Notamacropus eugenii: one gene and its partners. The protein of the gene in region 1 interacts with the protein of each later gene in a pairwise test. Links are inferred from orthologs where the notes say so. Each region holds a gene or a part of one and is shown in the gene's direction. Other genes may lie near its edges.

Region 1 (6,972 bases):
CCCACCCAGCTCTCTGGCCATATTGTTTATGTAGCTGTATCGATTCTTGGTGAGCAGTGGAGTGGGGACCAGGGCAGAGCAGGATGGGGTATCTAGGGCCCCAGAGATGGGTTGATTTGGGCCTGGCATGCAGTCTGCTTTGATCTGATTTCTTCTCCCTCTCTCACCCTGCAGCTGTGGTGATAACCGGCCTGTGCTTGGTGCTGGGCTACTGGTCAGAGCAGCTGAGGGCCGGGAAGCCCACCTGGATTACTGTGAGTGCCCTGTTCCTGTTGCTAGGCATTGTGGCCACTGTCATCATCTGGAGGCAGCCCCAGAACCCGACTCATCTCCACTTCAAGGTAAGAGACTTCTGAGGGGAAGAAGCACCGAGGAGAAGCCATGGTGTGCCAATGCTAGCACCGCTTTACCATCTTGTGTTTATCATTTTAGTGAATCTTGTTTTTCTCCCTGGCACCCTCCATAGTCATGAGAGTTCCTCTTATTGTGCCCTTCCTTCAGGTGCCTGCACTGCCTGTCCTCCCACTGCTGAGCATTTTTGTGAATGTTTATCTCATGATGCAGATGAAGGCTGGCACCTGGGCCCGATTTGGGATCTGGATGATGGTTGGTAAGTATCTGTCCTTGGACGGAGGGACCTGACCTCCAACTTTTTTTTCATGTTCCTCTTAGGCCTCTTGGGTTCTGTTCTCCCACCTCACAGCCACTTTTCTTCCTCCCCTCAGGGTTTGCCATCTACTTCACCTATGGGATCCGGAACAGCCTAGAGGGTCAGAGTGAGCCAATGCCCCAGCCTGCAAAGACTGCCAAAACTTCTGAAGTCAGCCACCCTGTTGGCCCTTCTGTCTGACTCGGACAGCCTAGCGATGCTGTTGGTACAACACTGGAGATCGCCTCTGTCTTTGTGTTCTTGCTCAACTTGTCTTCTCGACACGTAGGGGATTTGGACTCTGTTGGGCCAGGTGGGTCATGAGGCCTGGAAGGGTAAGGGGGAGGTTCTTAAACAGAACTGTATTTATTATGATTGAAGGACTGACCTTTTGCTGTTTCTCGTCTGACCTTTTTTACTGAAGTCTACTTTGTGAGCTTTTTGAATTAAACAGAGGAAAATAAAATCAGGAACTGTGTATCCTCTTCTCTGGGTTCTTCCACTCCCTTTTTTCTTACCTCTCAGGCTGCCTGGTTCCTGGAACTGTGTTCTCCCCAACCAGGGAGGGAATCAGCTGTGCTTAGATGTGGGCAACTTGGTGTGGGGGTTCTAGATGGCTTAAGGCTGAGGCAAATAGATGGAGGAAGAAATGCCTTCCAGACAAGCACAGAGGGCTGGGGCCTTGGGGCCTTTTCTTTGAAGGGGAGGCAGGAGATGACAGCTCTTTTGTGACTTGGGTCTCTGGCCTACCCTCCTCACTCTGGGCTGCTCCAAGGCTGTTCTGACTGCTGGCTCAAGGGTGACATCGGAGCACAGCTGAAGATTCTCCTGCTCTTGAGCCATATGGGAGGAGAGGAGGCTCTCAGCCTGGAGCTGAGAGGTTGGGAAGAAGGTTTTAGCCAGATCTAATGCCATGAATTGACTTGTATTTCTTTTAGTTGCTTCCATTTTTTCAGCTCAAGTTGTGCCCCCAACTACTTCATCATCAATAGCTTCACGTGTAATGCTGAGGTCTTCCCACATCCCTCCTTCCCCATCACCAGGCCAGTTTATGCTAGGGAATAGCCAGACCACCCATGGCCTGGGTATCATATGGGTAGCAGCTGATGACACAGTGGGTAGAGTGCTGGGCCTGGAATCAGGAAAATCAGGAATCAGGAGTTCAAATTCATACTCACCTTTGGTTACCAGTGTGACCCCGGGCCAGTTAGTTAACATCTGTTTACGAGTTCCCTCACCTGTAAAGTGGACATAATAATAGCCACTACTTCACAGGGTTGCTGGAAGCATCCAGTGAAATAACATCTGTAAAGCCCTTAGCACAGTACCTGACATACAGCATCTAACACACTTTTGTCTACACTTTTCCCTTCTCTTGGTCCTTTCCAATGATACCAACTCAGTGCCTACAAATTCTGCAGTTTGGGAGCTCTGTTTGCAATCACTCGACCAAAGGAATCACCCAGCTCCTTGGAGGCCTTGGAGTCAGTACCTGAAAATACTTGAACATGGAAATTAAGATCCCAGATTTAGGACACAAACTTTGGAGGGCTTCAGTGGTTCTAGTTAAGTGAAAACCATGTGAAGCTTGAGATTTGCAAGGTGAGGACCACCTGATAATGTGATGAAAAGGGAATGAGGTGCTGTGTGGCCTGCTCCCCTCCGCCCCCCAGCCTGGCTCCTTTCAGTATTTAGAATGAAGAGAGAATCAAAGGGATTGGCAAAGTTTACATTCTCCACTGCCCTTTTCCAGTCACCCTGTAATCGAGTTAGAAGGATATCCTTCAGGGCACAAGAAAGAGTCTTGGCTCTTTTCTGCTCTTCTCTTCCATCAATTCCCCCCCCCCCCCCCCCCCATTGCCCTTTCCTCTCCCCTAGGTGTGTGGTATGCTTACCCCTGTGAAATTCTACCATGTGACATGATCTTTGTCCTGTGAAGAGTCAAGAATCTGAGCCTTGGGCAGCTAGGGGCCCTTTCACAACAACTGAGTGAGGAAGGAGTAGAGAAAGTTGCTCTGAGTCGAGAGGGACTGTTAAGCCTGGCAAAGTCTAACCTTCCCAGCTCTAACTCTCTATTTCTTAGGAGCTCGGTCTATGATCATGGCCAAAGCTCTAAATCTTTCTGGGCCTTTATTTTATCTATCAAATGAGTATAACACCTACCTCTCAGGACTGTGGTTGGCCAGGTGCTGGATCCAATGAGATTGATTTAAAGAGCTGCAGAAAGCTCCATCAAGCACTATATACGTGACAGTGCTTTTAACCCTCTCACTTGGCTCCCATACACAAAAGTCTCTTTAACACCAATCTCCCACTAAGGCTATATACAGCTTCAAATGAGTCTCGGTAAACCCGAAATCTCAGAAGAATCCCAATCCCAAATTCTGGTTGCAGATGCCTGAAAGGTGCAATGGAAAAATGTATGATGGTTATAAAGTCAGTGTAGTGTATGTGTGCTGGGAAATCTATGACTAGAAGAGGAGGAGAAGGGGATTGGGACCTTCCTGCCCAGTGGGATCCATGGAACATTAAGGGAAGCAGCAGGGTGGCCTCCAGACCTTCAGACAGATCCTTCAGTAATAGCTCTCCAGAGCAGAATGGTCTTTTGTGCCTTGACTAGAATAGGCTTAAGGCTCCATAGATACTCATGATTTGAATTGAGAGAGGAGGAAGGAATGCACAAGTGGAAAAAGTCTGAAGGGAGGGAGTGAAATTCTGGGAGCCTCCAGAGGAGTAACTGGGGGTCGTGCCTGGGCTTGTTGACATCATGGGGTGGCCTCTCTTTGTCTCCAGAGCTTCTCCAAGCCCTTCTGGTTGGGGATCCGGAGCCTAACTCAATTCAGCTCTCTAGCCTCTGCCCCAATCCTCTGAGGCCCTGGGGGCTGCCCAGGGGCCGTCCAGGAGGCAGGGCTATGGGGGCGGGGGAGGGGGCTCATAGGAGCTTGGTCAGGGGGTGAGTATCAGGAAGGTGGCTGTATGCAGACGGAGGGCTTGCGGGCCAGGGCTGTGTGGGGCAGTGGCTCCTGGGCAGCCGCTCTGGGCCACGTGCCCCTCCCAGCACCCCCACTCCATTCTCCTAGCCCTTCCACTTGACCTCCAGGCTGCTTAGCCAGACCGGAGCCCTCAGAGAGGGAGAAAGACGAGACCTGATTGGAGGATTCTCCACCAATTGCCTGTTGGGGAAAAGAGGCGGGGGTAGAGGCATCTTGACCAATGAGGAAGCAGCATGCTCTCCTTAACGCCCAATCACTGCGCGTTCTTCTGCATCCGCCAACAAAAGGTTACCTGGCACCAATAGAACGAGCTAAAGTAACTTTGGCAGTGACTGAGGAGACGGCAGCCCAGGGCGCTGGGCGGGACCCTCCTTCAGCTCGCTCGCTTTCCTGGGCCGCTGACTTGGAGGGCCTTGTCCCTTCGAGGCCTCCGCTTGCTGGGGCGCGTACGTCCTCTTCTGTCACTAGGTTCGTGGGTCCCAAGGGGCGGCGAGGTCCAAGGGGAGGAGGGGGCCCGGGAGGCCGGGTGGGGGGGCTGAGGGCCTGAGAGGAGGAGGGGCCCCAAGACCCAGCAGGGGATCCACGAGGCCAGGTGTGGGGGGCTAAGTGCCTGAGAGGAGGAGGGGGCTCCGGGAGGTCAGGTGGGGGGGCTGAGGGCCTGAGAGGAGGAGGGGGGCCCCGGGAGGCCGGGTGGGGGGGCTGAGGGCCCGAGAGGAGGAGGGGGCCCTGGGAGGCCAGGTGGGGGGGCTGAGGGCCCGAGAGGAGGAGGGGCCCCAAGACCCAGCAGGGGATCCACGAGGCCAGGTGTGGGGGGCTAAGTGCCTGAGAGGAGGAGGGGGCTCCGGGAGGTCAGGTGGGGGGGCTGAGGGCCTGAGAGGAGGAGGGGGCCCCGGGAGGCCGGGTGGGGGGGCTGAGGGCCCGAGAGGAGGAGGGGGCCCTGGGAGGCCGGGTGGGGGGGCTGAGGGCCCGAGAGGAGGAGGGGGCCCTGGGAGGCTGGGTGGGGGGGCTAAGTGCCCGAGAGGAGGAGGAGCTTTGAGATGCGGCAGGGGATCCACGAGGCCAGGTTGGGGGGCCGAGGGCCTGAGAGGAGGAGGGGGCCCTGGGAGGCCGGGTGGGGGGGCTGAGGGCCCGAGAGGAGGAGGGGTCCCGAGACGTGACAGGGGATCCACGAGGCCAGGTGTCCGGATCTAAGTGCCTGAGAGGAGGAGGGGGCTCCGGGAGGTCAGGTGGGGGGGCTGAGGGCCCGAGAGGAGGAGGGGGCCCCGGGAGGCCAGGTGGGGGGGCTGAGGGCCCGAGAGGAGGAGGGGTCCCGAGACGTGACAGGGGATCCACGAGGCCAGGTGTCCGGATCTAAGTGCCTGAGAGGAGGAGGGGGCTCCGGGAGGTCAGGTGGGGGGGCTGAGGGCCCGAGAGGAGGAGGGGGCCCCGGGAGGCCAGGTGGGGGGGCTGAGGGCCCGAGAGGAGGAGGGGTCCCGAGACGTGACAGGGGATCCACGAGGCCAGGTGTGGGGGGCTAAGTGCCTGAGAGGAGGAGGGGGCTCCGGGAGGCCAGGTGGGGGAGCTGAAGGCCCGAGAGGAGGAGGGGGCCCTGGGAGGCCGGGTGGGGGGGCTGAGGGCCCGAGAGGAGGAGGGGTCCCGAGACGTGACAGGGGATCCACGAGGCCAGGTGTCCGGACCTAAGTGCCTGAGAGGAGGAGGGGGCTCCGGGAGGTCAGGTGGGGGGGCTGAGGGCCCGAGAGGAGGAGGGGGCCCCGGGAGGCCAGGTGGGGGGGCTGAGGGCCCGAGAGGAGGAGGGGTCCCGAGACGTGACAGGGGATCCACGAGGCCAGGTGTGGGGGGCTAAGTGCCTGAGAGGAGGAGGGGGCTCCGGGAGGCCAGGTGGGGGAGCTGAGGGCCCGAGAGGAGGAGGGGGCCCTGGGAGGCCGGGTGGGGGGGCTGAGGGTCCGAGAGGAGGAGGAGCTTTGAGATGTGGCAGGGGATCCACGAGGCCAGGTGTGGGGGGCTAAGTGCCTGAGAGGAGGAGGGGGCTCCGGGAGGTCAGGTGGGGGGGCTGAGGGCCCGAGAGGAGGAGGGGGCCCCGGGAGGCCGGGTGGGGGGGCTGAGGGCCCGAGAGGAGGAGGGGGCCCTGGGAGGCCGGGTGGGGGGGCTGAGGGTCCGAGAGGAGGAGGAGCTTTGAGATGTGGCAGGGGATCCACGAGGCCAGGTGTGGGGGGGCTAAGTGCCTGAGAGGAGGAGGGGGCTCCGGGAGGTCAGGTGGGGGAGCTGAAGGCCCGAGAGGAGGAGGGGGCCCTGGGAAGCCGGGTGGGGGGGCTGAGGGCCCGAGAGGAGGAGGGGTCCCGAGACGTGACAGGGGATCCACGAGGCCAGGTGTCCGGATCTAAGTGCCTGAGAGGAGGAGGGAGCCCCGGGAAGCCGGGGGGAGGGGGGGGGGGGCCGAGGGCCCGAGAGGAGGAGGAGCTTTGAGATGTGGCAGGGGATCCACGAGGCCAGGTGTGGGGGGCTAAGTGCCTGAGAGGAGGAGGGGGCCCCGGGAGGCTGGGTGGGGGGGGGGCCGAGGGCCCGAGAGGAGGAGGGGGCCCTGGGAGGCCGGGTGGGGAGGCCGAGGGCCCGAGAGGATGAGGGGTCCCGAGACGTGACAGGGGATCCACGAGGCCAGGTGTCCAGATCTAAGTGCCTGAGAGGAGGAGGGGGCCCTGGGAGGCCGGGTGGGGGGGGCCGAGGGCCCGAGAGGAGGAGGGGACCCTGGAGTGACCCAAGGCCAAGTCAGGCAGGGAGGGCCAGGCAGGGCGCCCCTCTAAGGGAAGCCCAGCCAAAGTGTGCCTTTAATTTTCTAGGTGCTGGTGATCCAGAAGTGTGTCCACATGGAGGGGGAGCTTCATTTTGAGGAGTTGAAAGGTACAGCGTGAAGTCCAGGGAATCTCCGCTGAGGGGGCCTTGGTGTCCTTGTGATCTGTAAAGGCAGCCACCTTCAACAAATGACATCAACAGGCAGGACTAAGGAGAGGGTGGGACCAGGCCTGGTGGGTTTGACAAGAGGCCTGAGGGGCCTGGTGGACTCCCTAGGGACCCACTGGCCACTTGTCAGGCTCTTGACCAGGGGAGTTTACTGATTCACCCATGGTATAAAGCGAGCTTGCTAAGTATGAGTCATCATTAGACTCCTGAGAGGCAACTGTAACGAGCCTGTCTTGGAATCAGGCAGACCCAACCTTAAGTCTTCCCTCTAATATATTGACTGGCTCCCAGGCAACTTCCATGTAAGACTAAGGTTCAGGTGAGTTGCTCTGGTCAGCATCAGTGGAGGGAATTTCCACACTAAGAGTTCTGCAC
Region 2 (7,549 bases), on another chromosome or scaffold:
GTCAAAGTCATCCTCCCTCACACAGAACTTTGTTTATAATTCTCTAATAATGATGACAATAATGACAATAGTTGGCATTGACAGAGCACCTTAATATTTGGGAAGTGCTTTACATGTATTATTTGCCATGATACTCACAAGAACCCTGTGAAGAAGGTGCCATTATTATCTCCATTTTACAGATGAGGAAGAAAGGAGGGAAAAGAGAGAGAGAACAGGGACTATTTAAAAAAATGATTTATGTCCCCAACACTTGGCTTAGTGCTGGGAACAGAAGTCTTGAAAAATACTTATTGACTTGAGGCTTTAAAAGGGTAAGTGGTTTGCCCAGGGCAACATACGTAGAAAATGCCTACTAGAGGATTCGAACTTATCTTTCTGACTCTAAGTCCAATACTTTATACATTTTATTACCATTTTGTACTATGGTTATTTTTATATGGTATTAATAGGTATTGTATTGGTCTCTAACCTGTGAATAGCCAGAGCTGCACAAAGCAGGCCAGAGACAGGAGTGCCAGGAAACAAGTAGAAGTTTAATTAATTACTTTAAGAGTGAGAAATGCTCTCTGTGCTGGAATAAAGGCATAATTTATATACATAAATCACAAGTGGCGAAGGAGAGGAAGATGGATTACAAAACAATCATTTCCAGGTCCTAAGTGGTTTCCCATTACAAGCCTAAGAGGGCAGGACAATACAGGCATTCGGAGTCCTGTAGGAATAGTATTGCTCCAAGTCGTGGGGTCATTACTCAGTGGGACATGGGACCAGAGTTCTGGGATGGGAACAGGTTCTACAATCTTTGATTTGCTTCATTTAAGGTACACAGGCACAGGCATATGGTGCTTGTGAGAGCCTTGTTGAGGGTTTGATTGATCATTTTAAGCTACATTGTGACTTTCTGACTCCCAAGCCAGAGGAGGCAGCTCTGAGAAATCTAAATTATTAGTATATTCATTATACATATCATATCAATTAATATGAAAATAATCATTCCAATGGTAAGGTTTTTAAGATTGTAAGGTTTATTCAAGGAAGTTCCCTCATCAGCTTGATAAACCTATAGAGTGGTGAAACTTTGTAAGGGTTTTTGAGTATATATTCCCGTGGAGGCTATGGACATATCTTTTCCCACACCTTAGAAGACTGGTCACGTTGATTGTGGCTACACCCAAAATAAATTGATTGACTTGTACCATTGGGAGGTTGTATTCTCGTAGAAGGAATCATTCCATTATGCTCAGCTAAAAAATGGGAATCCTAATGAAGAACTCATTTTTATATGAGTTTAAGAACTCAGCCTTTTCTACTTCTCTTTCAAATAGATCTGAAAGCACAGCAGAAATGGGCATGGAGAGTATGAAGAGTGGGTAGGTTCCTAGGAGCCATTAATGATGTCATTGTAGCAAAAGCATATGGCCCAAGATATGAATTGCTGAACCTGAAATTCCTGGCAGCCTTTCTTTTCTCTTGTCTGATTATTGAACAGAGACTTTTCTAGCAAAAAATAAAAATGGCAAGAGTGAATATAATGGAGTGGAATACTGAAAGTTTCTGGAGTTGCAGTGGCAAAGGAAAACATGATCATACCATTGTCATAGCTAAGAAGAGGATCTTCTAGACAGTGACAGCTTTGGGGGTAGCTTTGTGAGTTGTCTCAAGTTCAAAAGTTCATGCATCCAGTCTTCTATCCAAAGAAAAGAAAGCATGGACATTATGTTTCTTGAAAAGAGAAGAGAATGATAAATACGGGTCTTAATGTTGAGAGGAATAACTGTAAGGGACTAAAGCCATGATATAAAGGGAATAATGGATCTGGATTTTCTCCTTTGCTATTAGAATTATTTGGCTGATGTAGACCTAATGGTAAGCAGGGGGTGAGGGGGTGGTCAGGTGGGGAATTGGGGAGAGGTTGCTAATTGTCTGCTAATCCTAGTACGTTTTCTCTCTGGGGGAGTTTAAGACCTCAGAGTAGCACTATGAAGTTTAATCGATGTATCGCTTCAGAGTGAAGGGGGGCTCACCAGAATGTGGGAGCATTGTCTGCTTGAACACTCTTCTAGGAAGCCCAAACCACAAGATGGCACTATGAGTGTGGGAGAAAGGACAGCATTTATCCTAGCGTGAAGCAAGATTTGCCAGAATGGAGGAACACTATCTGTTAGAAAGTGTGTTTCCCTTATAGCAATTCCATGGGGTGCCCTGAGTCTGGAGAATTTTAGGTCCCTGGAAAGTAGGATTTACCAGAGAAGGAGGAGAATGGTATTGATTATGGAATATTGGCAATCTTTTGTGTGTTTTCTGAAACTATTCTGTGTTTCTATGAGACCTTTGTATTTTCTGAACTTGTAAAATAAAGCTTGTCACATAAAAAAGAACGTATATTACTTTGCACTATTGTATGAGATCTGGGAACCCTGTTATTCATAACTGTGGAAAACTAGCACATGAACTATATTTGGAGATTTTCCCAGCATAAACTCTGAGAACAGCATGAGCCTGAGTAACTCAATTTGGGGGAAAGGGTAAGCCCTAAAATCAGCCCCAGTTCTCATAAGCCCAGAGTCAAGGAGTTCTGAACCATGGGTCATAACTATGTATCATATCTCCTGTGTAGTAGATAGTGTTGGGTCTGGAGTCAGGAAGACAGTTCAAATCTGGCCTCAGACACTAGCTGTGTGACCATGAACAAGTCACTCTGTTTCCCTCAATTTCCTTGTCAGCATAATGACCCGAATGGCAAACCACTCCAGTATGTCTTCCCCAAGAAAACCCCAAATGGGGTCACAAAGAGTTGGACATGACCAAAAATAACAAACAACAATAAAAACTAGACTATCTGCCCTACAATAGCAGGGACTGAGTATCTTTTAAATTTTGAATCTTCCCCAGTGCCAAATGTGATCTTCTACATAGAGTAGGCTTTGAATAAATGTTAGTTGAACTGAACTGAAATCAGTACTTGCTGTCTTCAACATGGTTCAGTTATGTAAATATTTGGCCTTTCCATTCAATGACTCAATTTAAAGGGTGATGATACACATTTCATTAAGCTGCCCTGACTTAGCAATCTCTTAAAGAAGCTTCCATTTATAATATCAATTTATTATGCTATGATACCTGTCTACCAAGTAGCACTTGTTATATAGTCTCCCTCAAGTCCAATGGATAAATGGATAGAGGAAAGCAATTGCCTAGAGGAAATTAAAATTTAGGTCATATATCACTTCTGCTTAGCCATCCAGACACATAATTTACATTGCTGCAAGGACTCTAGAGATTGATTTCCCATTACCAATCAGTTGCAGAATGGACTTAAACTGTATTAGAAACATACTTTGGAGATCCTGTAAACACAAACTATAAACTGTATCAACAGCATGGTCAATACATAATAATTAACCCATGCAAGAAACTAAACCCATTTGTAAGTTATATGCAAAACTTGTTATAAATCTCATCACAAACTTCTCCCAGAGACCCATTAGCACAGTAGAAAAGGGTAGCAGTTTTAATCAATTTGTCTACTGTGTCTCTAGAATTTATTCCTGTAGAATACTGCTACCACATTAGATGTATATAGAAACGAAAAAATATCCAAATGTTGCTCATGGACAATAAAACTCAATTTTCTCTAGTCTTTCCTTTTTTTTATTTCCAGGCATCAACAAATCTCTCACAAAGGTGCCAAAATGTTTCTTCATGCACATCTGCCTGTCACTTCTCTGCTAAAATATTAACAGAGTAAAAAAAAAAAAAACCTTACATACACAAACACAGAAACCAAAACAGGGCTTTCCTGAAGCCTGTAGGATAAAATGCAGACTCCTGAGTCTGGCATTTAAGGTCCTCTACAAGGTAGCTCCAACTTACCTTTCCAGCCTTATTTGATTTCAATCTCTCTCATATACTATCTGGTTTTTCCAAAAATGAACTACTGGCTGCTCCCACATTCCATATTCATTGACGCTGGCCATACCCCACACTGAAATGTTCTACATCACTGCTTCCTGCTAAAATCCTTTTTCTTACTTCAAAACAGTCCAGTGATACCTCTGCCATAAAACCTTTCTTCATGTCCTCCCTCACAAACTGAATGTGCTTTTCCCAAGTACTTTTGTCTATATATTTCCTTTTCTCCTATTCCACTTTGCCTTTACAGTATACTTATTTCCTAATACATTGTAGGTTCCTTGTGGGCAGAGAGTATATATTTCCATCTTAGTATCTCTGGTTCCTAGAACAACGTCTTGCATATACTGGGGTGAATATTTATTAATTAATTATTTGTAGGATTCAAGAACAATTGAATTTTCCAAACCTTCCTGCTACAAATATACTAATGGCTTTTTCTGGTATTAAAAAATTTGTCTAATAATTAATAGAAGTTAGTATTCCTTACACTAATACTTCCAGAAAAAAGCCCAATGAAATCAATGTTTAACAGAATTTTGATGCAGGAATGACTACTAGGGAGGAGTTAATAGGGGAGTAGCCATAGAAACCAACCTATCATGGAAAAGTCCAAAGGGGTTATGTGTAATGAAACAGAACCAGAAGGATGTCTTGAACTAAAAGACTGCTTTACAAAGCAACAAGAAAGAAACACACCTTAACACCAGGGCAAGCTGAAAGTCCAAGATTCTCCTCATTTCCCCCATACATATTTTTAATGTCCTTAAAGTGAAATGGGGTCAAAACACTCTAAGACTCACCCTAGGGTGACCAGAGTGGCCCCTATGCAAGATAAAGACTCAATGTGTTCCCCAGCCAGCCCTGTGGACTTGGTATTCAATGACAATTCAGAGGATCAAAGTTTATATTCATTTGCAAGACTACAAGAGAAGAAGAAAACATTGGACAGGCAGCTGCCACCACTTCGGGAGACTTTGTATGGGAGATATTCTTCAGGTAAAAATAAAAATGGCATGGAAATCATGCTTTCAGGTGAAGAAAGGCTATTGATAGATTTATGTGGTTGTTTTTACATAGAACTGGAATTTTCTGAATACAGCTAAAAAAAGATGATAATATATTGAAAGATAAAAGTTTTGCAATTAAGAATATGTCCAGGGGAGCAGAGGAGTTTTTTGGAAGGATGTGTGAGAAAGATTTTTGCAGTTCTGGATGCAGGGTGAGGAGAAATCATTTTGATACATTTCAGTTTACTGTTTCTTACTTTTTTACACACAAATCACATTATACCGTTAAGTACTGTGTGTATGTATGTGAATCAATAATAATGATCATCAGTCATATATAGTTTAAGTCAGAAATAATTTTTATAATATCTTATATCACCAGGGAAATAGAGTTGAAACACTTTGAGTAACTGCGAACTAGTAATGATTCTAGAGGGAAACAGAATAAGTGGATAGGACATTCCTTTCTTTCCTTCATATTCTTTTTTTCTCCTTATACATCTTCAAGTTAAGAAGAGATATTCCCCTACTTTGATTACAGGAATGGACCCTGAAGTGACTATAAATTATCTCTGGATAATCCAAGTAAAAATTTTTCCCCAGTGTTTTATGACAGAGCACTTAACTATGAATTACATTTTGAGAAAACGTTATTATTGGATATTTCCAAACTATCTGAAAAGCAAGTATTTCCATTAATGGCCTTTCAGTTTTTGTTTCCCATTCCAGGTTTATAAAAGAAATAAATGTATCTAGTTACTTAGTGAGGAAGCATTATTCCATATAACTAACAACTGTTTCAGGAACTCATGTGCATGATACTACCATGTTCCTACAATTGGCTGGTTTAATTTCTCTTCTGTATATATGTGTGCATTTGATGCATTTCTCAGTTTCCTAATGACAGAATGGAATTTTCTCTTTAGATTTTCACTGACAAAGGTGCCTTTTATGCCCCAATTTTTTTCTCGAGAATAGAAGTTTTTGCTTGTGCCAAGAAAATTATTGCAATTGAATGAAGAAAGGGAACCCACTTTGTAAGGCAAGGCTCTAAACTGCTCTTTCATGCTTAGATGTGAATGACAAGAATAAAAAATTTTAAAAAGCAGCATATAGGAATGAAAACATCATTAACTAATGTTCAGGAGAGCTGAGTTCTAGGCATAGCTGCACCACTCTCTAGTTCTGTGACCTTTGGCAAATCACTAAATATTTTCATTTATATCAGGTTGCTCATCTTTAAAATAGGTATATTAACATATCTCTAATATTTCACATAGGTACTGGAAACACATAATGAGAGAGAAAATGCCTTCAAGCCCAATTCAAAAACAAGGAATTAATAATAATATTTGACATCTAGCTGGCATATGGGAATCTTTCACCAAAAATACTTTAAGTATTGAGTTCCGAGTTCCACTGAGTTCCACCTAAAGTACCTCATGCTATGTGAAATAATGAATAGAGTGCTGGACTTGGAGTTATAAAGACCCAAGTTCAAATCATTCCTCAGAGATTTACTGGATATGTGGCTCTGGGAAAGTTCTTCAATCTCTCTCTGCTTCTGTTTCTTCATCCATAATTAGGGATAAGAATAATCCCTCCTTCATATGGTTGTTGTGAGGACTGAAGGAGATAACACTCAATATGTAACACATGTGAAGTGTTTGAAACCCTTAATACTCTATATAAATGTTAGCTATGTGATTATCACCATAATTATTATTTTGTACTGCTTAATGCAAAAGTATCACTTTCAATAAGCTAAACCTGAAAAACCTGCTTCACTTAAAATTACAGAGAAAAATAAGTCATTGCTGTATGCATTTTCTCATTATAAGGAAAAGCACTGGTAAATTACTGGTTTGTGACCTTTGGGCAAGTCAGTTTCTGAGTTCCCAGACAACTAGAAGCAAAATAATTATAGATTTGCAATTGGAGAAGGATTTTCCACACCTGGAGTTCCTTCTACCAATAAAATCATAGGTTCCATACCAAAAATTAAAAAAAATATCCCAAACCTTGGAATTTTCCATTGATGGTAAGACTGAGGGGAATTGTGGGTAAGATATTTAAAAATCAGAGAGAGCCTAAATTGTTATAAAAAGTCAAGAAATGAACTTTTGTTTAAGTTTTGTCATGTTATAATCCTTTAGGCAACCTTTAAAAATGAGACCAAGAAATGCCTTGCAGATCTGAGTTTTGTCACAGAGCTTCTTATTTTTTCAGTCCCCTTATTATAGTTACATCTAAATGGCAACCTACAGAGAAGGGAATCAACCCCTTTCATTGGTGTTAGAGTTTACTTAAGAAGAAAGAGCATCTTCCTTTCTAAGTCTTCAATAAATATCTATGTTGCTCATCCACTGTCTTTATATGAAATTTATTCAATGGATGTATGATAAGATTATATATAATAAATCATGGCTGGGAATTCATACCTCAAAGGAAATGCTTTGTTCCCGTATCTTACTAATTTTGTAAAGCAACATCTTTGTACTTCCAGTGCCTACTACAGTGACTTATACAAAGCAAGCACTTAATAAAGATTTATGGTCTCCAAAGTGAGGGCTATGGCTGGACCTCAAGGGAACCATGGCCTAATGCCAAGGAGGTGTGGGATC
Region 3 (6,926 bases), on another chromosome or scaffold:
TAGGTGTGCCCAGATCCGGGACAATCTCGAGGGCGGGGAGATCTCTCTCCCATCACGTTTCTCACGGGAAGAGGCGGAATTACTCGAGATAGCTCGGTTCACCTCGATTCCCAGCTGTTTCCTGGGGGGGTCTCGTGAGAGCTCTAAGATTTAGAAGCTCCCACCTTTACCCGCCCGAGACTGTCCACACGGAATTGAGCTTCCAATCCCAACAAAGAATGTCTTGGGGATTGGTAGATAAGGACAACCAGGATCTGATTTGGGCAATAAGTTTAGATAACATGAACCTCAAAAGAGAAGATATTGAGTAATGGTGGTAGAGGAAAAGTCTAGAAGTGGGGGGAGTATTTTGTCTTCTCCATTGGGATCACCAAATTGAGGTTGGGGTTTGAGAGAAAATGCAACCAATACTAGAAGGAATGGCTGAGCAGGAAGATCTTGGTGAAGGAAAAAAAATGGAAGGGCTAGAGGGCAGAAGTTTAAGGTGAAAGGAATTTTGTTAATTACAGTACAGGAATAACAAAGGACACTGGGAACAGTGAAATGATATCTGCTTTTTTCAAAAGAATAATCATTAATTATTTTTCTCCTTTTGTTCATGGAACAGTGGATGTGTTGTCAATTCTTATCATTTCTATCTTCACAGCATTTTGTGTCCCCTTCTCTCCATTCACAGAGCAACCAGGCTAGTCCAGATCTATGTTAACTCTCACATAGACTAAATTACATAAATTTATAAATTACTCCCATTTTAAGAGAGGTTTTGGTAACAAAATAAAACAGAAAATTAAAACTAACAATACACTGACCTCATCTAAAAGTGCAGGCAGCATTTCACATCTGTAGTACCCCCTTCCTATTAAAAGAAATCAACACAATCTATTTCCTTTCTCCTACCCCCAGTCCATTAAACATAAAATAAAAAACACATTTCTTGTAACAAATAGGGATAGACAAGCAAATCTTCCCAATGATAGTACAAAAAATTATATATGTTCAGTTCTGCATTCCAAATCCATTACCTCTCTATAATAGATAGCATGTATTTTTCTTGGGCCTCTTTTGAAGGAGGCCAGGGAAGCCAATAGGCAGAGATGAAAAGGGGCAACATGGCAAGCAAAAGGGACTGCAAGGGAAAAGACTCAGATACTGGAAATGGAGGGTCATGTTCAAGGAACAGGAAAAATGCCCTTTTGGTTTTGCATCTCTAATCAATGAGTGTAAGAAAAAGCATTTATTAAGGGCTTACTATATATACTGGGCACTGAAGTGAGTACTAGGGGATGAAAATACAAAAGCTGGACAGTTGTTACCTTCAATGAACTTATATTCTGAAAGGGTGGAGAAGGGGAAAATTAGGTGGTATGGTGAATAAAGTGCCAGTCTTGGATTCAGCAAGACCTGAGTTGAAATTTAGCTTCAGAAACTTACTAGCTGTGTAATCCTAGGTAAGTCACATAATCCTTTCCATCTCAGTTTCCTCATCTGTCAAATGAGCTAGAGAAGGAAATGGCAAACTACTCCAATATCTTTGCCAAGAAAACCCCAAATGGGTTGGGCACGACTGAACAAATCATATATATATGGGAATAGTGGACAGGGAAGGCGTTTTGGTCTGGCAAGTCACTGTGATGAGTGGAGTCATAGGATAGTCAATTTCAATCAGTGACAGTATTGATCTATTATTCCCAGAGCAAGTGGTAAAGAAGGGGGAAAAATCATGTTGAGGAAAGGGTTCATACCTGGTGGCAGGTCTGAAAGTAGAATAGGATTAGAGAGAATGATTGGGTCTGCTGACAGCTAGACAGAGTTAGAACTCACTCATCTGCACAGCCCAGACATAGGCTTTATGCAATTTGAAGAATGTTGTTGTGTTGAAAGCTCCTTACTTTAACTTAACTCTTGCGACATTTGTTCATCTACTTAATGCTAATAATTCACACAGGCAAGTGAATCTGAATTTGCCTACTGGCTTCTTTGGTCTCTTTCAAAAGAGGCCCAAGAAAAATACATGGTATTCATTATAGAGAGGTAATGGATTTGGAATACAGAACTGAATAGTCCTATTAAATTATGCCAGAAAATGAGAAATTGAGGGTAATTGAGGTGAAGACACCCAACATCATATAACAAATCATTTATTAAAAGCATTTATTAAAAATAAAAAGGACTTATGAAGCACCTACTTGGTTGGTAGGTTGTTTTCCTTAAACACCTAATATAAAACAGGAACTGGGGTTATAAAGACAAAATCAGAACACACTCCCTGCTTTCAAAGATCTTACCTTTTATTGGCCCCTAGGTGGCAATGTGGGCAGTGTGCTGATGACTGGAGTTTGTCTCCTGCTCCAGCCCCTTAGGAGTTGGGGAGACCTGGCTAGTCACTAAGTCTCTCTCAGCCTCAGTTTCCTCATCTTTAATTTGGGGTTAATAAGGGTGTCTACCTCATAGGACTGTTCTAAGGATCAACTGAGTTAGCATACGTAAAGTACTTTGCAAACCTTAAAGCGCTATATATTGTTTGTCCTCTAAGAGGACCATAACATTAAAATGGTGACATGACTTGGAGTTGACTTTGATTTGAGTGAGGGAGGGCTGTGCAAGGTTACCAACCTCACTTTCTTTTCCTCGAAGCGCTATATAAACACCATTTAGCTTTTGGGAGAGGCAACACATTGGGTTTATCAGCATTTAGATGAGGAAATCAAGATCACAGATTTAAAGCTGCTGGAGATCTTAGATTTTAAGTTAACTGATGTGCAGAGAAATTAAACAATTAACCCGGGGTCAAACAGCTCTGTGAATGAGGCAGGCTTTCAATACAAGTCTGTTTTCCTGCTGCCAAGTCCAGATCAACTGACATCAATTCTGGATTTTCCCTCCTATTCCAGTATACTCAAAGAACATAGTAGCAGTTCCATGACACAGAGGAGAGAGAACTGGACTTGGCATCAAGAAGACTTGTTTTTATCCTGACTCAGACATTTACTAGCATTTACTGAACAAGGAAGTTTCTCTGACTGCAGTTTCTTCATCTAAAATGCGGGGGTTGGATTCCGTGGCCTCTTCGGCTGTAAAACCAGGCTCTGAATTGGAACCGAAAGGAGCCCTAGAGTTCATGCAGTCCAGTCTCTACCTTAGGTAACTAAAGTGCAGAACCAGGATTTTTAACCCAGATGCCCTGGCTCCAAGTCTAGGCATCTTTCCAAGTCATTCCTCCGTATCATGCAGAGTATTTGACTTCAAGATTTACCAGTGGAAAAAAGATCTGAAACTGAAACCTCAACACCTGTCTAATCGAGTGAACAAGCTTCCTGTGTGTTTTCCTTTTTGCATAAGTAAACTAGACCAAGTAGACACTTGGCAATCTGAGCACAATGGAACGAGAATACGGGGGTGGGGCGTTGGGGGGGATATAAAAAAATCTGCCATCTCTCTTCTTCCAATTCTTATCTGTTTCTCCAGAGCCCTGTTTTTCTTGCCTAGAAAGCTCGGTTCATCCATTCTGTACATTCTTCCCCGACCTCTCTCCACCCTGCCCCCACCGGCATGTTCTGGTCTTTCTTGTACTTTGGGGGTCCTTCGTGGCCCCCTCCTAGCCTCCAAGCCTGATCTTTCTCAGAGGAGCAGTGTTTGGGGGGATCTCCCATCCGAGCTTCTCCCTCTGGGGTTCTCCGTCTCCCACCGACCCCGGGCCAGTGTTGTGCCTCTCTAGTGGTTTGCCAGCACAGTCCAGCGCAATCCAGCGCAGCCCAGCCCCGCGGAGCCCAGCCCCGGCTCAGCCTCTGCGCCGCGTAGCAGGGCTCGCAGCCCGGTAGTTCCGCTTCTGCGCAGCGCGGCGGGCCCAGGGGCTGGGAAGAGGACGGGGAGGGGAGGCGGAGGATGTGCGCGGAGCCAATGGGCAAGCTCGGGGGAGTCGAAGCTGCCCGGGCGGCCCGCTGGGCTCGCACACACGGACGGGATGGACGGCGAGAGCTGGCTACCGCAGTCCTTCTCTCCGGGGCCCCCGGGCGGAGCGGGCGGCGGCGGCGGCGGCGGCAGCAGGGCGGGCAGCGATGGCGGGGAGAGCCCCCGCGGCGGCCGTGGGGCCGCAGCCCTGATGCAGCCCGAGGTGCTGGACCTGGATGAGGACGAGGATGACCTGGAGGTCTTCAGCAAGGTGAGGGCGGCGGCAGACGCGGTGGCGCGTCTCGGGGAAACTTCCCAACTCCTCTCCTAGAGCTGCCACCGAGCTTGTCAGCGGGGCCTGGTCCTACCAGGAGATTTGGGGGGGGGGGGTGTGTGTGAAGGGGAGGGACGCGAAAGAAAGGGGTGGGGGGTGTCGCCAGCTTCTTTTTTCTCCTCCTTTTCCTCCTCCTCCTGTCTTCCTTGTCTTCCTCCTCTTTTCCTTCTCCGATTGTCTTACCCAGCTGTAGCTTTCTGGAAGCCAGACATAGACTCTTTGCAAACCTCCGAGCCTTTGTCCGGAGAGAAGTTTTCAGCCTGGAATCAAACAGCTGGGCTTTCAATTCTCAGCCTCTCCTTTCTCCGCACTTTGACCCTCTGTGCATATGAGCATGTCTAGCTTTCAAAGACTGCAAAGTTCTGCTGTCCTACTGGGGTGAAGAAAGGAAAGCTCAGTCCCAGCATCCTCGACTCTTTCCCCTTCCCCACTGCCTTACCCGATCAGACCGTGCCAGGTTAGATGCGTGGTTAGATGCAAACAGACCCTGTCCTCGCCCCGCTGTCTTCCTTTTCCTTGTGCCCTGAGAATTCAGGGGAGGAGAGAGCCTGGGGCTTAGAGGGCACCCGCTTGGATTTCAGGTTTAGATTTTTTGATTTAGAGACTGAGAATGGAAGCCCAAGCTTTACACATAGAAGTACAGCAGGAGAAAGAACCCCTGTCCCGTGGCTGTCGCCCTGCCCTAACCACTACCCACCCACCTAGAGGGAATGGAAGGGGTTTCAAATAGAAATGAGATCCAAAGAAACAACTTTTGGAGAGGGAGATCCAACTGGAAACTAGTTTCCACATGTTAATTAAAGAGCAAAGACTCATCTCATGAGCCCTCAGGCATAATGTCCTGCAGGATTTTTGAGAGACCCTAGATTCTTGCAGGCTTGTCTATTTTTCACTGATAGTTATTCTTTTCTTTTAAGAAAATGATTTTGGGAGACGGTGAATGAAACTCCATCTTCTCCCAAGTTTCTGTCAGTGGAGGCTGTGGGTTGAGAGTAAGACAATGTATTAATTACTACTGCTTTTGCAGCAGTTAAATGTTACATTGAGGTCCTGGGTAAGTGAACTTAATTATAACCAGTCCCTTTATACGCCGAATTGTGAAGGGACTGGACAAGCTGGTCCTTGGCTTGATTTTGTCGCCTGAATTGCTTCAAAGAAGACTGAGATTGTAAACTTTTTTTTACGGCAAGAATTGTCTCACTCCACATCTTTAGCTCCTAAGACCTGGATTGTCTTGTTCGTAATAGTTTATGGATGATAAATGAATCCAATACTATACTTTCCTGTCCCACGCCCTTAAGAGAGTTAGGTTCTTTAAATAGAATTCTCCCACTTTATGTTTCCTAATGGAAAACAATAACAATAAACTGATAAAACAATAATAATAAACTGATTTCTATGGGGGGAAAACAAAACAAAAAACAAAAGTCCTTTAGGTCCCAAAGTGAAAAGTAATATAGCAAGACTCTCAGATCTCTGATCTCATGGGACAATTTAGTTGAATAAGTTGTTGAGTAAATTAATTAGCTCCTAAATACACTTACATGCCACGTTCACATTACACAGCAATGGGTTGGCCTCTTTCCCTTCACATTGCCAGTCAGTGTCTAGGGTCAAACACTATATAATATTTGTACTTGGTTGAAATGGAGCATTTGTCTCAACATCTAGTAATTTGGGGTAATGTCTGACAGTAATGCAATGACAGTTTGCAGACTTTTAGGTTATCCCTTCATTTATATTTTAGTGGATTGCAAATACTGAGCAGGCAATAGTGTGACCAATATGTAGATCTAAAGAAACACACGAAATAGTTATTGCTTTCAAAGGTCTTAAAATCTGTGTTGGAGAATAGTTTACTTAATCATGTATATGTGAACTATAAGTGCCACTGTTTGATTTCCAAATGAAAGTAAATCACTGATAGCAGGGCTTCATGGCTATGTGACCATCTGGGGAGTTGAAAGATGAGTGGGAGAGAAAATATTAGCAGGGAATCCTCTGACTTTCCTTAGTTGAAGGACAGTATTTTAGAAAACTTTTAAATAGTTGGTTTAGTTGATTGATGTCGTTACCAAATAAACCATCCCATAGAATAACTCCCATAATGTCTCTTCACTTGAGAACCTTCAATGAAATCCTAGAGGTTTTCCAATAATGCCTATACCTTAGCCTGGCATTCAAAGCTTTCCAACTCTGACATCATCCCATTCTGTTAAACTTCATATGTGTTAATGTCCTATCCATATTTCAAAGTTCAGCTCAAATATTGACTCTTTCCTGACATTTTCTCTGATGTCTTCTGGTAGCCAGAAAAGACCTAACCCTCAATTCTCAAAACACTTCTTAATAGTTATTTCTCTACATGTACCTTGCAGTCAGCTCTTAACTCTTTGAGGTCAGTAAATGTTTTATGATTTATTCATTTATTTATTTGTTCATTTATTGATTTAATTATCATTTTAACTTTAATTAATCAATTAAATTAATATTAATTACTTTTTTTGGATATCTCCACTACTTAGCCAAGTGTCTTATACACATTGATCTTGAATACATAATTCATTCACTTTTAATTGGGTGTCATCTCTCTTACCAAATTGTAAACTCCTCACAGCCTAGGACCTTGTTTAGTTTTATCTTTATAATTCTCCTAGCATAGTACTTTGAATTGAGGAAATGCTTAATAAGTTGTTGATTAAAG
Region 4 (7,905 bases), on another chromosome or scaffold:
GCAGAGTCCTCAAGTTGTCAGGTCACGTTTGCTCTTGTTGAGCAGTGAATCGGGAAGGCATCACGAAGGGGAAGGAGGTAACTGCCATCTGGTACAATTTTTTTAAAATCACTGCCAATAAATGATTTTCTTCTTTTTTTCTGCATTAAAAAAAGTATCTGAAGCATTTCTATAACGGTGGATTCAGTCCACAACACTGTTTTCACTTACTCTTGCAAAAGAAAAGGGATGGGGTTGTAACCCTTATACATGCTGCCCCTCCACCCTTTTTTTTTTTTACGAAATTCTTCTTCAAGACAGTTATAGAAGTTTAAGTTGCCTCTGATTCTTACTACTTCTGTGACCTTGGACATTTAACATCACTGGTCTCAGTTTCCTCATATGCAAAGAGGGAGAGTTGGGCTACATTTCTCAGTGCCTTCCAGCTTTAGAACTAGGATTGTACGATCATATGGTTTACTCACATAAAGATATAGGATCACAAAGAGTTGGACATGACTGAAATGACTGAACAACACAAATATGTGGGGAGATAAATAGGAATATGCACTGGGATTTGCTTCTTTCCTCCTGAGACAGTCCTGAGCTCCCATACCATGCTGGCAATACATTCACTATGGTACAGACCCTGGCTCATGAATGCCACACACCCCTACATACACACACACACACACACACACTCACTCACTCACTCACACACACACACACACACACACACACACACACACACACACTCACACACACAAACCCCGTTTGTGGTTCTGGGCTATGACCAAAGGATCACAGCTTATGCTGTGCTGGGCTCCTTTCCTCATCACCTCTCTTCCATTCTTTTATCTCACTCAGTCTCTTCTAGGAGGTTTCCTCTGCAGTGTGGAGCCTCCTTGGCAAGGGTCCCACTAGACACAAGTCTCGGAAGGGGCAACCTGAAACTGCTGGGAGGGGTGGGGCCCATAGCAAGTGAGCCTTTCATGCAAGCACAAAGTGAATTGAGCCTAAGTGATGGAGTTTCCATTTCTTTTTAATTATATCCAAGCACACCCATTTTAACATTGCCCCATCCCACTAAATGCAGGTAAAATGTTTTGCAACCCTTAAATTGTTTGAAAAAAGACAGGTATTATTAATAAGTTCAATATAGCATAGTCACACCCTATTGTATCATCCTGCTAAACCTTTCTCATACCCTTGATAAGGACCAAGGCTAGCTCCCAGACCTGACTTAACACAGCCAGTCCTCTGAATGGCTGAGAACAGTAAAAAACCTAGCCAATCAAAATATAGTTGCTGGGCTCCAACTACCGCCTTCTTTTTCCTCCCCTCCTCCCCCCAGTAAAATTTCTATCCTGGTGGAATCCCTGCTCCTCTCATCCTATTGTAATAGCAATAAGATTTTCACAGCTCTTTAAACTTCGAAAATCTCTTGCTATATATACCTTAACTCATTAGTAACTCTGGGAGATAAGTAGTGTTATCCCTTGACCATTGGGGAGAACTGAGGCTCAGAACAGTTGGCCAGATTGGCCAGAATCTAATCCAACTTTCTCCTGACTTCAGGTCCAGCACTCTAACCCAGAAAATCATCTGATTAGATTCAATTAAAACAAGCATTTATTAAGTTCCTACTATATGCCAGGCATCATATAAAACCAAAACTGCTCACTACCTGCCCTCTTACATTTTATCATCTAGGGGTTAAGCCATATTGATAGGTGAATGCAAAATCCATATCAATTAAATACAATGTAATTTCTTTAGAGTAGGATCACCTGGAGGAAATGGGAAAGATCTTGTAGGAGGTGCTGCTTTACCAAAAGGAGTTAGGAGGTCTGAGAGATGGAGGTGACTGGACGGGGAAGCCTTGGGGAAGCATTGAGGCAAATGAAATGTTATGTATCAGAATCAGCAAGGAGATCAGTTTGAAATTCAGTGTGTGAGCAGGGGGAGTAATGAGTAAACATTCTGGAAAGACAGAAAGGTGGTGAAGGGTTTCAAAGGCCAAATGGAGGAGCTTTCATTTTATCATCATGACAAATTAGAGAACCACTGAAGCTTCTTGACTAGGGGATTGGTGCAAGGGAAGTCACCAAGGTCCACCTGTCACTTCATACAAATGGCCTTTTTAGGATAGGTTATCTAATTGGTGATGTTGAACACATTACCTCTTGAGACTGCCTACTGAAATAGTGAACCTTAGTTGTTAAGAGTTCTTGCTTAGGGAGAAGTGAAATCTGCCATCTTATAACTTCCCCTCATTGGCAAAAATCCATTCTTTGGACCTATAGAAAAATAATCCATCTTCCCTTTCCTATGGCAGTCCTTCAGACATTTAGGCACATCCATCTTTTTTCACTTGAATTTCAGAATTTTTTTGGTTCTACAATTGAGTTTATTAGAACTCCTATTATAAGGACACACTTTACTGATTCCGATTGTCAGCTCTCATTTAAATTGTGACATTAGAAATTTGCATCGGGATTGAGAGGTTCCTCAACTTGTCAATCACCATAGAACTAATCAGAGGCAGGATCTGAATTTGGGTCTTCTCTACTCTAGGTGTCCCTAAGTGGTGCAGTGCATAGAGGGCCAAGTCTTAAGTTTGGCAGACTCTTCTCTGCCTGAGTTCAAATCTGGCCTCACACACTTATTAGCTGTGTGACTCTGGGTAAGTGACTTAACCTTATCCGCTTCAACTTCCTCATCTGTAAAATGAGCTGGAAAAGAAAATGGCAAACCACTGTGGTATCTTTGTCAAGAAAACCCCAAGTGGAGTCATGAAAAATTGGACACAGTCTGAAAAACTTTCTGACTCCAAGACAGGCTTTGTGTGCACATGCCAAGTTGCCTCTCCTCACATTTTCTTAACTGTACTCTCACAATAAAAACCTCAGAGTCACTAGATTAGAACAATCCATGATACTCTGTAATTTTGAACAATTTTTCTAATAAAAAAAAAGGTTTTTCTCTTTGGTGCCGTGAAAACTCTGCTCCAGGTACCCTTCAGCTCTGGAAGTTCATTAGGGTTGGAATGCAGAGGGAGATTCCTTTGAAGAGATAAAAATGCCCCCCTCCCCCCAAAAAATGGGGGGAAGAGAGAAATCTATTGTGCCTTCACTGAATCTCTTCCCCAGCAACTGTTACCTGTTTTATCATTCATACCAGGCGGGGGAGGAAAACTCTCTCGCTATTTTGAGCCTGCAGAGGAATAATGAGGCACTGTACTGAACCCGGAGGATTAACCATTGCTCTTCTGTAGAATGCCGTCCCAGAAGTATAGATAGGATGCCAGAAGTGGGAGGCTATCTTCTAGTATCACAGATCTCCGTCAGGAAAGAGACCTGAGAGATCAACTAGTTCAACTCATTTTGCAGAAGAGAAAACCGAGAACCGAGCAGGCTGAGTGAGTTGTTCAGGGTCCCACAGGCACTAAATTTCAGAGTTAGAACCATAGACAGGACATAGAGTCTGCCTGACTGCTCTAAATCTGGTGAACTGAATTGTCTGGAGGGGGAAAAATGTGAAAGGTTAAATACTTCAAGACAGCCATTAGGAGCTTATCAGAGAGGCTAATGCAGTTGGGACAGCAGTACTGACTGTCGGTACCAGCTCTGCATTAGCGTGCTACTCTCGGAGGTTTGAAAAGCCAACCACAGTGAAGTTCTCTTTGCTTAGAAATTCAAGCCACTCTCCCCTAGGCCCTTTTCCCCCTCCCCCATTTACTCTCAGCACTTAAAGTGCCTGACACACAGTAGGCCTTTAAAAATGTTTAATGACTAACTCACTAGCTTTGAAACCATACGGACTACAGGGCAATTAAAACAAACCAACCAGGCAAATCCAAATGGGGTCAAGTTTAAAGCAAAACTGGATTCAGAGCTGGGGGAAAATGTGACTTCGTTCCAGGAGGGAACTTTCCCGGGGGGTCTATTTATGCAGAGAGGTTGGGACACCAAGGGGTTAAAGGACATAGGAAAATTGCTAAGACTTTGGGGGAGAAAAAAAGCCTATGACTGCTGGCAGGGGATGGGATTCCTTCCATCAGGATTTCCTTCCCTCCCCTTTTCGGGTTCTGGACCACTTCGGCAGTCTGATGATGCCTCCGGTCCCCTTGTCAGAACGTTCTTAAATTCATAAAATAAACCGCATAGGGTTACAAAGGAAACTAGTTATAATGATGCAAGGGTTCCAAGTTCACGGACATTTATCCACGGTTACCTCTCTGGACCCCTAGTTAACGACGCTCATTTTAACCAGTTCTACACCTCATTTTTCTAAATCCTGGGTTAATGGATGTAGAATACTTCAGCTCAGACTCCCTGGAGAAACTGCAACGTCTCAGGGAACGCAAGAGCTGAAGTAGTTTTAGTGGGGTTGGCTGGGTGGGCAAGAGACAAAAGAGCCTGAGGCCTCCGGGGTCCCCGAGGAAGGCACCAGGTGGACTAAGGGCAAGAGTTCCATGGCCTGGGCGGGGAGTAGAGAGCGAGAACTCAGAAGATGGGAAAGAGAAGATGGCACAGTGGCTGTGTCCAAGCAAGAAGGGGAAAGGATGGGGAGCCGGAGAAAAGAAATGGAGGCCGGGGATAGCTCAAGGAGCTGCAGGTTGGCGGAGAGGCGAGGAGCCTAGTGGAGTTGCAGGGGGGCTGGGTGGGGCAGCGAATCTCCAGAGTCCTTTCCTGGCTGAGCTCTGCTTCCCTCTCTCTTTCCTCCCCTGGCAGTCTATCCTTCTGCTCCTGCTCTTTCCCCCCGCCCTCCAGAGTTGCGCAACGTCTTTCTTTGGCTGCCGCAAGGCGCTGGCCACCGCCCCCCGCAGCCAGGCGAGGGAGGGCTCCGAGGCTGCGTCAGTCCCAGCTCGGGTATAAAAGGGGGCGGCCGGGCAGCCGCGAGCCGCACACAGCCATCCGTCCTCCTGCCCTCCTCTCTCCTCCTCCCCATCTCTCTCCTCCTCCCCGCCGGGCAGGCAGCGGGCAGGCGGCCGGCCGGGCTGCGGCCCCCGATCCCCCACACCGGCAGCATGAGCTCCTTCGGCTACGAGCCGTACTACGCCACGGCGTACAAGCGGCGCTATGCCAGCACCGCCGAAAGCCCGCGAGTGCACATCTCGTCGGTGCGCAGCGGCTACAGCAGCGCGGCGCGCTCGGCCTACTCCAGCTACTCCGCCCCCGGCTCCTCCGCCGCGCTCTCCGTTCGCCGCAGTTACTCGTCCAGCTCCTCGCTGCTGCCCAGCCTGGAGAGCCTGGACCTGAGCCAGGTGGCCGCCATCAGCAACGACCTCAAGTCCATCCGCACGCAGGAGAAGGTGCAGCTGCAGGACCTCAACGACCGCTTCGCCAGCTTCATCGAGCGCGTCCACGAATTAGAGCAGCAGAACAAGGTCCTCGAGGCCGAGCTGCTGGTGCTGCGGCAGAAGCACGCCGAGCCGTCGCGCTTCCGTGCCCTTTATGAGCAGGAGATCCGAGACCTGCGGCTCGCCGTCGAGGACGCGAGCGCCGAGAAGCAGGCGCTGCAGGGCGAGCGGGATGGCCTGGAGGAGACCCTGCGTGCGCTCCAGGCGCGCTATGAGGAGGAGGTGCTGAGCCGCGAGGACGCCGAGGGTCGCCTGCTGGAGGCGCGCAAGGGCGCGGATGAGGCGGCCCTGGCCCGCGCCGAGCTCGAGAAGCGCATTGACAGCCTGCTGGACGAGATCGCCTTCCTTAAGAAAGTGCACGAGGAAGAGATCGCCGAGCTGCAGGCGCAGATCCAGTACGCGCAGATCTCCGTGGAGATGGACGTGTCCGCCAAGCCCGACCTGTCCGCGGCGCTCAAGGACATCCGCTCGCAGTACGAGAAGCTGGCGGCCAAGAACATGCAGAATGCCGAGGAGTGGTTCAAAAGCCGCTTCACCGTGCTCACCGAGAGCGCCGCCAAGAACACGGACGCCGTGCGCGCAGCCAAGGACGAAGTGTCCGAGAGCCGCCGCCTGCTCAAGGCCAAGACGCTGGAGATCGAAGCGTGCCGCGGCATGAACGAGGCCCTGGAGAAGCAGCTGCAGGAGCTGGAGGACAAGCAGAATGCCGACATCAGCGCCCTTCAGGTAAGGCACGTCCGGTCCAGGACAGCGGGGAGCAGCCAGGGGACTGCGGGGGGCGGGGTGGTGGAGGAGCTCAGCTGGGCAGGTCTGCGGGGGAGGGGCGGGCCTCTGGAGGGGCAACCTGCTTATTGCTCAGGCGAGGAAAATGAGGCGCGGAGTGACTTAAGTAGCCATTTCATCCTGCCGTCTCATTTGACATAAGAGGAAACTGAGGCGCGGGAGGGGCGGGGCGATTTACCTAAGGAAACTACATAGCCTTGAGATTGTGGTTCAAATTTCTTATGTTCCCAACGCTTTCCAGAACATCACTTTAGAGCCAGCATCATTATGGAGAGGGGTGGGGGCCATGAGGAAGGCAACTTACGCACTGCAGGTGTTAGAGCTTTGGGGTAGGGTATAGAGTCCCCTTAGGGACAGGTGGATGGAGGCAGAGGTCGCTGTGTGCAACTGGGTGTTTTTTCTTTGGCACATCCTACCCTGACTCTGTGTTAGAGGCGAGAGGCGGAGAAATGGAGGGGAGGTGCCTCCTACACGCTGTTGGACTATTTCTGTTCGCCCAGTTAGTAAATGTGTCGAGCATTCCTCTTCTCCCCGATAGGTGGCAGTAGTTATGAATTTATCTCCCTAATCCCTCTCTGCCTATTCCCCCCTCTCCCCGTGGTCAAGTTAAGTGATGGTAACAGTAAAACACGTGCCTTTCTATAGAAGGAAGGCCACATATCAGAAGACTGTAGTGATGTAGGACACCAAAGGAAGACAAGAGGATGCTCCAAATGCCTGTATGAAGTCTGTACAGAACATTAAAACAGAGACAGATTTGGAGATCTAAAGTTCTCATTGTAGAAATTTAAGACGGGTAGGATTATTGTTGTCAATAATAACTGGTATTTATGTAACAGAGGAAGCCTGTCTTAGAGGCCAGGAAGATCTGGGTTCGAGTTCTGCTTCTGACTCTCATGGGCAGTTAGGTTCTGATCAAGTCACTTAACCTCTTGATGCCCGAGCTAACTCTCTAAGACTCTGTTGTCAGACATGTTGCTCTGCAGAGACAGAAACAGTTGTGAGTTCCCTATACAGAAGGAATCTCTGGTCCTATCCCTACGCTGATTTAATAAATATTTTAGAGTCAGCAAAATGCCTTGGAGAAGAAACAGGCCTGGAGGGGAGGGGGATGGCTTGCTCCTACATGTCCTGTCAGTTGCTGAAGAAGAGATAAGCTCGCTCTTTACAAAGAGCCGCAACCCTCCATTGTCCTTATATCTCCGGAGCTCTTATCTTGGTCCCCATTAAGTCTAATCCAAGCCTTGCTGAATAATAGGCTTTCTCTTTCTGTGGCTGTGCTGGCTTCCATCCAGGATGCAGGGAAAAGCAAGTTGAAGAAAGAGCAGGGCCGATGTGTGACTGACCCTCAGATCTCTAGTGGAGAGTGGGCTTGTAACAAACAAGCAGGCTTTTTCAGTCAGTACCAGGAGGGATGGGACAGTTCCAAGGAGGCAGCTTCTCCAGCAGAGCCTTGGAGCTCTGGAGGTGAGCCTTCACTGTACGGTTTGGGAGCTGGCATAGGAGAATTCAGGAAAATTCTGGGGTACAGAGGAAACAAAGCCATTTCTGAGTGAATAGAGCCGAGACTGGAGGTTGGCAGACCATGATATGGACTCTGCCTCTGAAAATGTGCCAGTATGTTCACCTCCCCTTTTCAGGGCAACATGCTTGGAGAGGAAATAGAGGTTTGTATTCCAGGTTGCTTTTTCACTCCTGACAGGACACAATTAACAAATTGGAAAATGAACTGAGAACCACCAAGAGCGAGATGGCGAGATACTTGAAAGAATACCAAG

The links.
Region 2: the proteins of TEX11 (region 1) and CCDC198 interact in binary tests that used the Homo sapiens proteins (3 or more experiments, as listed by UniProt). The two-hybrid records come from large-scale screens. The link is inferred for Notamacropus eugenii from reciprocal best matches to the Homo sapiens genes TEX11 and CCDC198.
Region 3: the proteins of TEX11 (region 1) and SNX7 interact in binary tests that used the Homo sapiens proteins (3 or more experiments, as listed by UniProt). The two-hybrid records come from large-scale screens. The link is inferred for Notamacropus eugenii from reciprocal best matches to the Homo sapiens genes TEX11 and SNX7.
Region 4: the proteins of TEX11 (region 1) and NEFL interact in a two-hybrid assay, tested with the Homo sapiens proteins (2 studies listed by BioGRID and IntAct). The two-hybrid records come from large-scale screens. The link is inferred for Notamacropus eugenii from reciprocal best matches to the Homo sapiens genes TEX11 and NEFL.

The regions. Positions count from the first base shown.
Region 1 is NC_092879.1:100,228,589-100,235,560, forward strand, and holds the start of TEX11 (testis-expressed protein 11), read left to right. Parts: upstream 1-3,950; 5' UTR 3,951-4,110; intron 4,111-6,476; 5' UTR 6,477-6,503; coding exon 6,504-6,537; intron 6,538-6,972. Other genes in the region: SLC7A3 (cationic amino acid transporter 3), read left to right, coding at 1-49, 175-341, 502-610, 726-850. UniProt on the Homo sapiens protein: Regulator of crossing-over during meiosis. Involved in initiation and/or maintenance of chromosome synapsis and formation of crossovers.
Region 2 is NC_092872.1:300,385,640-300,393,188, reverse strand, and holds the start of CCDC198 (factor associated with metabolism and energy), read left to right. Parts: upstream 1-4,541; 5' UTR 4,542-4,691; coding exon 4,692-4,914; intron 4,915-7,549. UniProt on the Homo sapiens protein: May be involved in tuning the metabolism, energy expenditure, and excretion processes.
Region 3 is NC_092873.1:274,704,870-274,711,795, forward strand, and holds the start of SNX7 (sorting nexin-7), read left to right. Parts: upstream 1-3,904; 5' UTR 3,905-3,961; coding exon 3,962-4,159; intron 4,160-6,926. UniProt on the Homo sapiens protein: Involved in the regulation of endocytosis and in several stages of intracellular trafficking. Together with SNX4, involved in autophagosome assembly by regulating trafficking and recycling of phospholipid scramblase ATG9A.
Region 4 is NC_092872.1:742,703,663-742,711,567, reverse strand, and holds the start of NEFL (neurofilament light polypeptide), read left to right. Parts: upstream 1-4,892; 5' UTR 4,893-5,011; coding exon 5,012-6,070; intron 6,071-7,829; coding exon 7,830-7,905. UniProt on the Homo sapiens protein: Neurofilaments usually contain three intermediate filament proteins: NEFL, NEFM, and NEFH which are involved in the maintenance of neuronal caliber.